Linked DNA regions of Nothobranchius furzeri. The protein of the gene in region 1 interacts with the protein of each later gene in a pairwise test. Links are inferred from orthologs where the notes say so. Each region holds a gene or a part of one and is shown in the gene's direction. Other genes may lie near its edges. The genes, in order: atp6v1d and bbln.

Region 1 (4,405 bases):
CATCACCACATCCTCCACCTCAGGGAAGCGATGCTGATAGAACCGACAACTAAGCCCCGGCATTGCTGTGAAGATGTGAACAGAATAAGGGGGTACATATTTAGTTTGAAAAATAAGCATTAAACAAACTATTTGGATGTCACTCTGATAATACATAAAACGCTAGCCTCTCAAGAGTGAAAGCAGAAAAATATGTAAATATGTAATATTTTGTAGTGCTGTTGTAAATTTGACTTTAATAAAGTTTTTTGAGTTCATGGATGGGCAGAGCAGCCACAAAACTAAATCTACTCCAAAAACCTTTCATCAAAGATCAACATTTTACTTGCAGCAGTTTGAAGAGATCAAGTTTACTTTCATTTAAACGCCAACACATATTGATGCTACTGGTTTATTCACTTTAATCCAAACTGGAGATTCAGCTTTCAAAGAACATTTGACTTTTTATCACCACTAATCTGTAACAAAATTATTTCCCTCAATTGCAATGGACCTTTCTATGTTGTTCTTTGTTTAATGGAGAATGTTTGATGATTTTATTCTATTGGTATTAATCTGTTGACAGTGTGTGAAATATTATGTCACCAGTAAAACATTCCAATATTAATAAGCACAATTCACTTCTACAGGAGACTTGTTAATAACCCTTTGAGGGGGTTATTAGGAAGAATAAGGTGTTAACAGCCAACAGCACCTTATCTGAACTTAACAATCTGCGGCTTCAGAGAAACAGAAAAAGACTTAATATGTAATACTGATATTTGCACAAGTCATCAAGAATAAATAATGCACGGCTCTTGATACAATCAGCACCCTCATTAGCAGAAAACCCTGTGCAGAAAGCAAAATGTTGGGATTATTGCATAGAACAAGCATTTCAAGTATTCACATTTCAGCATTAATATTTGACCCGTTTGAAATAAATAAAATTCAGAACAGTTCTTCAAAAGATTCGTAGTTTTAGGCTTTTCCCCCCTCAAAATTTTAGTCTAGGAATGAATGGGATGATGCAACGTCCACAACTTTTTTTAAGAGCAAAAAACTGGCTTGAACATATGGAATTAAAAACAGACAATAAAATATTACAGCACATTAGTACTAGTAGTAAGGCACATTATAGCACATAGATAATGAATAAAACGCTAAGAGATAACATACGGTTTCATTACAAGCAGAAAAAGACATTTTAAGGTGTTAGCTTCCTGGCTAAGGTTTCCAAATCACATGCGGCTGCCAATGCTACACGTTTAGCTAGCAGTCTCTTCGTCGCTTCAAATATCTTCTCTGTCAGCGAAAACTCACCTGTGTCATGGAGTTACAGAATGATAAAGTTGGAATTTTATGATGGGCGTGTTTAAATGCTTCTCTATGTTTTCTTTCGGCTGCTTTTAGATGAAATTCTCAGACCCGTTAGCTCACATTCATGGGTGTGCAATTTTTTTTTGCCCCGGAAAGAATTAATAGAGAGTACCTCTCTGCGCATGTGTAAATTCACGGCTGTGTCACATGACTTGGGGTCAGCTGATCATTACGGACGGACAAGATCACGACCATTAGCTAGCTACGTTCACCTAATCCTGCTCGAATTATAGCTTTTTTGAGATATTATATTAACCTCAAACGATTCGTTATAGTTACAAGTAAAGTTAAATATTTAAGTTTAAAGCGTAGAAGTAGATCGGTCAACATAAAGACGAAAACATGTCTGGAAAGGACAGGATCGACATATTCCCGTCTAGAATGTAAGTATCGTCTTTTCTTATCGTATCGTCTTTTCTCTTGGCTAACAAATTAGCCCCCCCCCCCCCCCCATTAAATGTCACATTATTTTTCTAGCTTTCCAGATGCCGTGATAATTAATTTTCTGCATTTATTTACCTTAATTGGACCGCGTCTGCACTGCGGATACATTTTATTCATAGTTTGAGTCTGCTGTTTAAAAGAGGAAGCGCTATTTTTGTGTCATGTGATGTTTCTAACATCTGAGTGTGAACAGAGTCTGTACCTGCTTCATGAAAGCCACAAGGAAGGTCTAGTTCTAATTTTAAAGCCAAACTGACTGCACGTCACCTGTTTGTTTATGTGGAAAAACTCACTCAGATATTCATGTGTAAAAAAAGAAAAGTGGGTATCTGTCTTTCAGGATGGCCAACCATGCAGAGAAAAATAATTAGACAAATACTTTAAAAAATGTACAATAGGTGGTTGTGTAGTCACATCAGGTCTGAATCTATAAATAAATGTCATCTGTGTGTTTGCAGGGCCCAGACCATCATGAAGGCTCGACTGAAAGGGGCTCAAACTGGCCGCAGTTTGCTCAAGAAGAAATCTGACGCTCTCTCGATGCGCTTCCGTCAGATCCTTCGTAAAATTATTGAAGTCAGTCAGAACATTTAATGATTGCTGCTTCTCTTTCTTCACTCCAGCCAATTTGACACTAAAATAACTAGAGCAACTATTTAAATCTTGCATTATTTCTCACATAATAGAAAAACACCTAATAATGGAATTTTCTTTTATTCTCTGTTCTTTTAGACTAAAACTAAGATGGGAGAGGTGATGAGAGAAGCAGCTTTCTCATTGGCTGAAGCCAAATTTGCAGCTGGTGACTTTAGGTAAGAGTAATGACAATGTTACAGCCGTGTTTTATCGAGTCTGTTAGACGTGCGCAGCAACTTTTCATCTTCTTTCAGCACAACTGTAATCCAGAATGTGAACAAAGCCCAGGTCAAGGTTCGAGCCAAGAAGGATAATGTGGCGGGTCAGAAAAATCTTCCCATCATCATCATCATCATCATCACTGTAATTGATGGGAAACAACTATTCATGCTGAATTTGTCTTTTCAGGTGTCACCCTTCCAGTGTTTGAACACTACCAAGAAGGTGGAGACAGTAAGTAGTGTAATTGTACTTTTCAGACATGCATCATATTTGGATTAGTGTCTGTGAACCTCAGAAAGCTCAGCATGTTTGTGTGTGTGTGTGTGTCAGGTTATGAACTCACCGGTCTAGCCCGAGGAGGTGAACAGCTCTCCCGGCTGAAGAGGAATTATGCTAGAGCTGTTGAGCTGCTTGTGGAGTTGGCCTCCTTACAGGTGCTGTTATGGCTTTTAAGGCGTATTTTTCTGCCATATTTGCAAAATATCTATATATATATATATATATTTAATTTTGAATAAAAATTAATATTTTTTTAACAGACATCATTTGTCACCTTGGACGAAGCCATTAAGATCACTAACCGCCGCGTGAATGCCATTGAGCACGGTAAACAAACGAGTTGTTCAAAGATCTACAGATGCTTGTGTTTTTAACCATCTTTACTCTCCGTTGCAGTGATTATTCCCAGGATTGATCGCACTCTCACCTACATCATCACAGAGCTGGATGAGAGGGAGCGTGAGGAGTTCTACAGGTGAGAGCAGCTGCATCGGATTCCTTAACCATTAGTAAAAGGATCTGATGGGTTAGGAAGTCAACTACTGTAAGAGTCATGTGTAATCATTATTTTTGGTTTTTGGTGCATCTTATTTAAATATTCAACCTAAAACTGTTGGTGTAGCGCCCTCTTCAGGTTAATAGTCTGCATTCCATTTGAATTAGTTAGCCATCGCTATTGGTTAAAGGGTACCACTGTGGGGTCTAATACCAGCCGAATTTCTGGGTAAGCTATGCCGCCAGCAGGCTCTGCACCGGTTGCCTTGGCAACTCACAAGCCGATGCCTCAGGGCTGCTCACCTCCTCCAAAAAACCAGTCAGTTCAGGCTGCAGTCCCGCCCTCTCACCCCATCAGGCAACGCCTCCTTTTGGTGCATTTTTGAAACCAGAAGTGTGGGTGGAGTAAGGCTCTGGTAGGGGGGTGACTTACTCTTTAGTTTGGCCATTCTGAAGCTTCACATTTACAGTACCTGTTATTTTCCGCTGTGCCAGGCTGAAGAAAATCCAGGAGAAAAAGAAGCAGCTCAGGGAAAGGACAGAACGGGAGATCGCCGCCCGGCTGGCTGCACTCGGTCCCATCGCTGAGCCGGCTAACATGCTGACGGAGGAGACGGACGAGGACCTGCTGTTTGAGTGAACCCCTCCCTCCCCCCGTGGTTCAACACTCAACGTCTTATTTATTCCGTGCCTCCGGCCACGTTCACACCTCCCTATAAAGTTATTTTTCCCCTCCAGATCTGTGATTGTGTTTCTGTGCTGGAAAAGTCTGAACGTCTTCTCGTGTCGCTGTACAGACAAGTCTTAAGAAAAAAAAAAGTAATTATGAATAATAAACGTGTTGTTTGTGAGTAAAATGAAAGAAGCCCTCTGTGTGAACGGCTCACCTGTAGACGTCGTTTGGAGCATCGCATGCTGTAAAGCTGAAGTCTGTGTTGTGGAAACCTGTGAAGGGTAAATCTCTGACCCT
Region 2 (3,283 bases), on another chromosome or scaffold:
CACATGTCAAACTTACGTTTTGACTTTGAAAGAAGTCTCTTATATCCACTTTTCGTTTTCTTGACATGCTGCCTCCTGGCTGTGCCTAACTACCAAAGACTCACAAATGAACACTTATTCAAATGTTATGTAATGGAAGCTGAGCTGAGCTCTGATATTACACAGCGTCTAGTTGACGATGTGACTCAGTACCGGTGTTCCCTAGCGGCTCCAAACTAGCAAAACAACGTGAGCACGTTCTGACTGTTTACAACTTGAGTGACAGCAGCAACAGCCAATAATACGTTAGCAAGTATCAGCAGAGCCAATAGATAGCTTTTGGGCGGGTCTAATAGTAAACCGGTTTCCGTTTCGGTCCTAGTGCTCAACCAAATCCATTTAATGGAGCGTAACATTGTTTTTGGACGTAAAAAAGTGCAGGGGACCAAAACTGCCTTTTGAAAAAGTGGGGGAGACATGTCCCCCCCCCCCCCCCCCCAAAAAAAATTACGTCCCAGTCTGGCTGGATCGATCAAGGGCGTTTATATGCTGTTCGATTGTTGTGTTTGTTTGTACATAAATGAAAAGAAAAAATAATTTTTTTTTTATTTTCATTTAGCAAACACAGCATCGTGCATCAGTAAATTGCGTCCTTCAACGTAGCTGGAGATTTACACATCTGAGATGATTACAATCACTGTCACGTAACTAAACAAATACCCCCATTCACCCTCTGAAACAGATAAACAAATAGAAACAAGATGGAAAAAATATTGGTTGTTAATATCGGCCCAGTTTTATTTATCAGAACAATACCATATTTTAAAATATGACTAACATTGGCTGATACTGATGCCGATATATTGTGCGGCCCTAATAAAACACGTGTCGCATTTTTTTTTTACTTCTTCTATTGTGAAATCTGCATCACATGTAGTCTGAAAGGTCACTATTCTCTACTCTCTTCTCCTCTTTTTTTCTCCATATTCCAATATTTTGGAGAAGAGGAATAAAGTACTGTTTTGGAACTGTAGTCATTTGCCAACTGTTCATTTCAATACCTTTAATAAACTGTGAAGGAAAATATTTTCTCACATTGCCACTCAAGATTTGTTTTCAGCAACCACCAATGCAGCTGTTTCCCCCCACTAAAATACTTGAAAGAGAAATTTCCAGTATGTTAAGGTTATTTCTTAACCACTGTAGGATACACCTAACACAGCTGGAAAATGTAATTTGTAACGAAGAGTAAATAAATAATGGGTAGGGAAATAAATCCAGACAGAGGAAGTCAGGTGCTTCGGTCAGCTGACTCTCGCTCTGAGTCTGAGTAAGAAGGTAAGAGGGTTCACTCTGAAAAAAGTTCTGTACCTTTAATCAAAAGTGATGACATGGCTTGTTTAAAATGAATGGGAACCATCGACATTGGAAACATAAAATGGTAGCGGCTTGAAGACAGTAGTTTTGCAAATTATCTGTCGCTAATGTATGAATATTTTACCTATTTCATCTGTGAATAATTACCAGAGTGAGACATCTTGTTTTACTCCCGAATCTCTGCTCAGGTTTCTCCCAGAATCAATTTGTTCCGTAAACATTTATCATTGGCCGCTGACAGATCTCTAACCTTGTTTGAAATGTCCTCTGAGAGCGTTGGACATGAACTCTGAGCACAACCTTTAGAAAGGACATTAGAAAGCGAACTCTTATAATTTTGTTCATTTAAACCGAGGAGATTCGAGGTCACGGAGGACAAATAGCACCGGTGCGAGTTAGCTAGCTGCTAGCTTTGCGTGAGTTTAAGTGGCAGCTTACTTCAGTTTGAATCATGTCAGGACCAAACGGGGATCCAACAATCTCCACTGATGATGGTATTATCAACGACGACGATGAATTTGGCGAAGAGGGTAAACTTTTTATGCATACTGAGTCATGTTTCTGAATGTTATTTGAATTATTGAGTCTGGCGGAAGCTTTCTACGTAAATCACCAAAGCGTCTATCCTGCTTTTCACCCGCAGAGTACTCCGCCATCAATACGATGCTGGATCAGATCAATTCGTATCTGGATGACCTGGAGGAGCGTAATGACGCACTGAATGGCAAACTTCACGAACTTCTAGAGTCAAATCGGCAAGCCCGTTTGGATTTCAGGGCTCAGCTGGATGCTCAATCGACTCAAGAGGAAGGGTGCACCCAGAGGGAGCGTCAGACCACAGAGGAAGAGTCTTCCTCACCCACCAAAGATGATTTAAATGAATGCGCAGATTCACAAACTAGTGACAATAGTCGTTAAACGTGGTGTTTTGTTATCAGTACTGATTCAGGCAGATTCTGAGATGAGATCGATTAGTCGCCCTTGATCAGCTTGGGTTTCCTGTCTGTCCTGATTATTTCCGTGAAGCTACATTCCATTTGGCAGACACTCAGTCCAGCTTTCCACCGGTGAACTTTGACACGCTGGTGTTTCTGTTCTATGCAGTTATGAGTTTATTGACCCAGACTTGGAACATTCTGAGTAAAATGTGTTTGTGTAAAAATGTGAAGAGAATTAAAATATTTATCGCAGTTAAAACTGCAGCATCACTGGGGTTTTCAGTGAAGATACCTTACCTCATTTCTGTTAACATTTCCCTATAAATGCTCCAAACATTTATTATTACTCTAAAATCAAAGAGCCATGCATTTCATTTAGAGCAATAACCAAGGCCTGTTTCACAAAATTAACCAACCTCGTCATTTTTGCATGTTGATCACAGATAAACTGAGGGCGATGGCATGCGCTTAACATCAATTGTATCTACTTTAAAGTAGGTTAAATCACACTTCAGACCTTTATCCAAAACTAATTCCTAGCAGTGGTTACAAAGGGTAAATCTTAAGTTTAGGTTGAATTTAATCTAACATTTAAAATAATGAAAAATGATCAGTCTTTGACTTGAACAGTATGTTTCAAGTGTAAAACCACGGAGAGGAAAAACGACATTCCAATGAGTCATGGATCATTATGGGATTTCAGACATTTTAATATAAATTAAGATTACTCCCAAACAGAAAAAGAAACATCCAAAAATACAATAAACTTCCAGCAGTTAGAAAACATCACCTGGTTGTTCATCTCTATTTTTTCAGTAGCTGAATAAAAATACAATAAGAAACAGTTTTGCTTTTTGAAATTCTCTGCCCGTGTTTATCCCACTCCTGATCCACTCAGGTTGAAACGAAGAGGAAAGTTCAAAACACGTCTCGCTCCTTCAGAAAGCATTGTCGCCATGACTACAAGGGCAGCTGTATCCTCCACTATA

The links.
Region 2: the proteins of atp6v1d (region 1) and bbln interact in binary tests that used the Homo sapiens proteins (3 or more experiments, as listed by UniProt). The two-hybrid records come from large-scale screens. The link is inferred for Nothobranchius furzeri from reciprocal best matches to the Homo sapiens genes ATP6V1D and BBLN.

Annotation. Positions count from the first base shown.
Region 1 is NC_091742.1:8,441,414-8,445,818, forward strand, and holds the start of atp6v1d (V-type proton ATPase subunit D), read left to right. Parts: upstream 1-1,504; 5' UTR 1,505-1,701; coding exon 1,702-1,742; intron 1,743-2,261; coding exon 2,262-2,379; intron 2,380-2,535; coding exon 2,536-2,615; intron 2,616-2,693; coding exon 2,694-2,761; intron 2,762-2,847; coding exon 2,848-2,892; intron 2,893-2,991; coding exon 2,992-3,095; intron 3,096-3,200; coding exon 3,201-3,267; intron 3,268-3,336; coding exon 3,337-3,415; intron 3,416-3,930; coding exon 3,931-4,075; 3' UTR 4,076-4,405. Other genes in the region: eif2s1b (eukaryotic translation initiation factor 2 subunit 1b), read right to left, coding at 1-63. UniProt on the Homo sapiens protein: Subunit of the V1 complex of vacuolar(H+)-ATPase (V-ATPase), a multisubunit enzyme composed of a peripheral complex (V1) that hydrolyzes ATP and a membrane integral complex (V0) that translocates protons.
Region 2 is NC_091746.1:54,790,045-54,793,327, forward strand, and holds bbln (bublin coiled-coil protein), read left to right. Parts: upstream 1-1,532; 5' UTR 1,533-1,807; coding exon 1,808-1,886; intron 1,887-1,999; coding exon 2,000-2,274; 3' UTR 2,275-2,564; downstream 2,565-3,283. UniProt on the Homo sapiens protein: Essential for intermediate filament organization in intestinal cells, interacts with intermediate filament and regulates intestinal lumen morphology.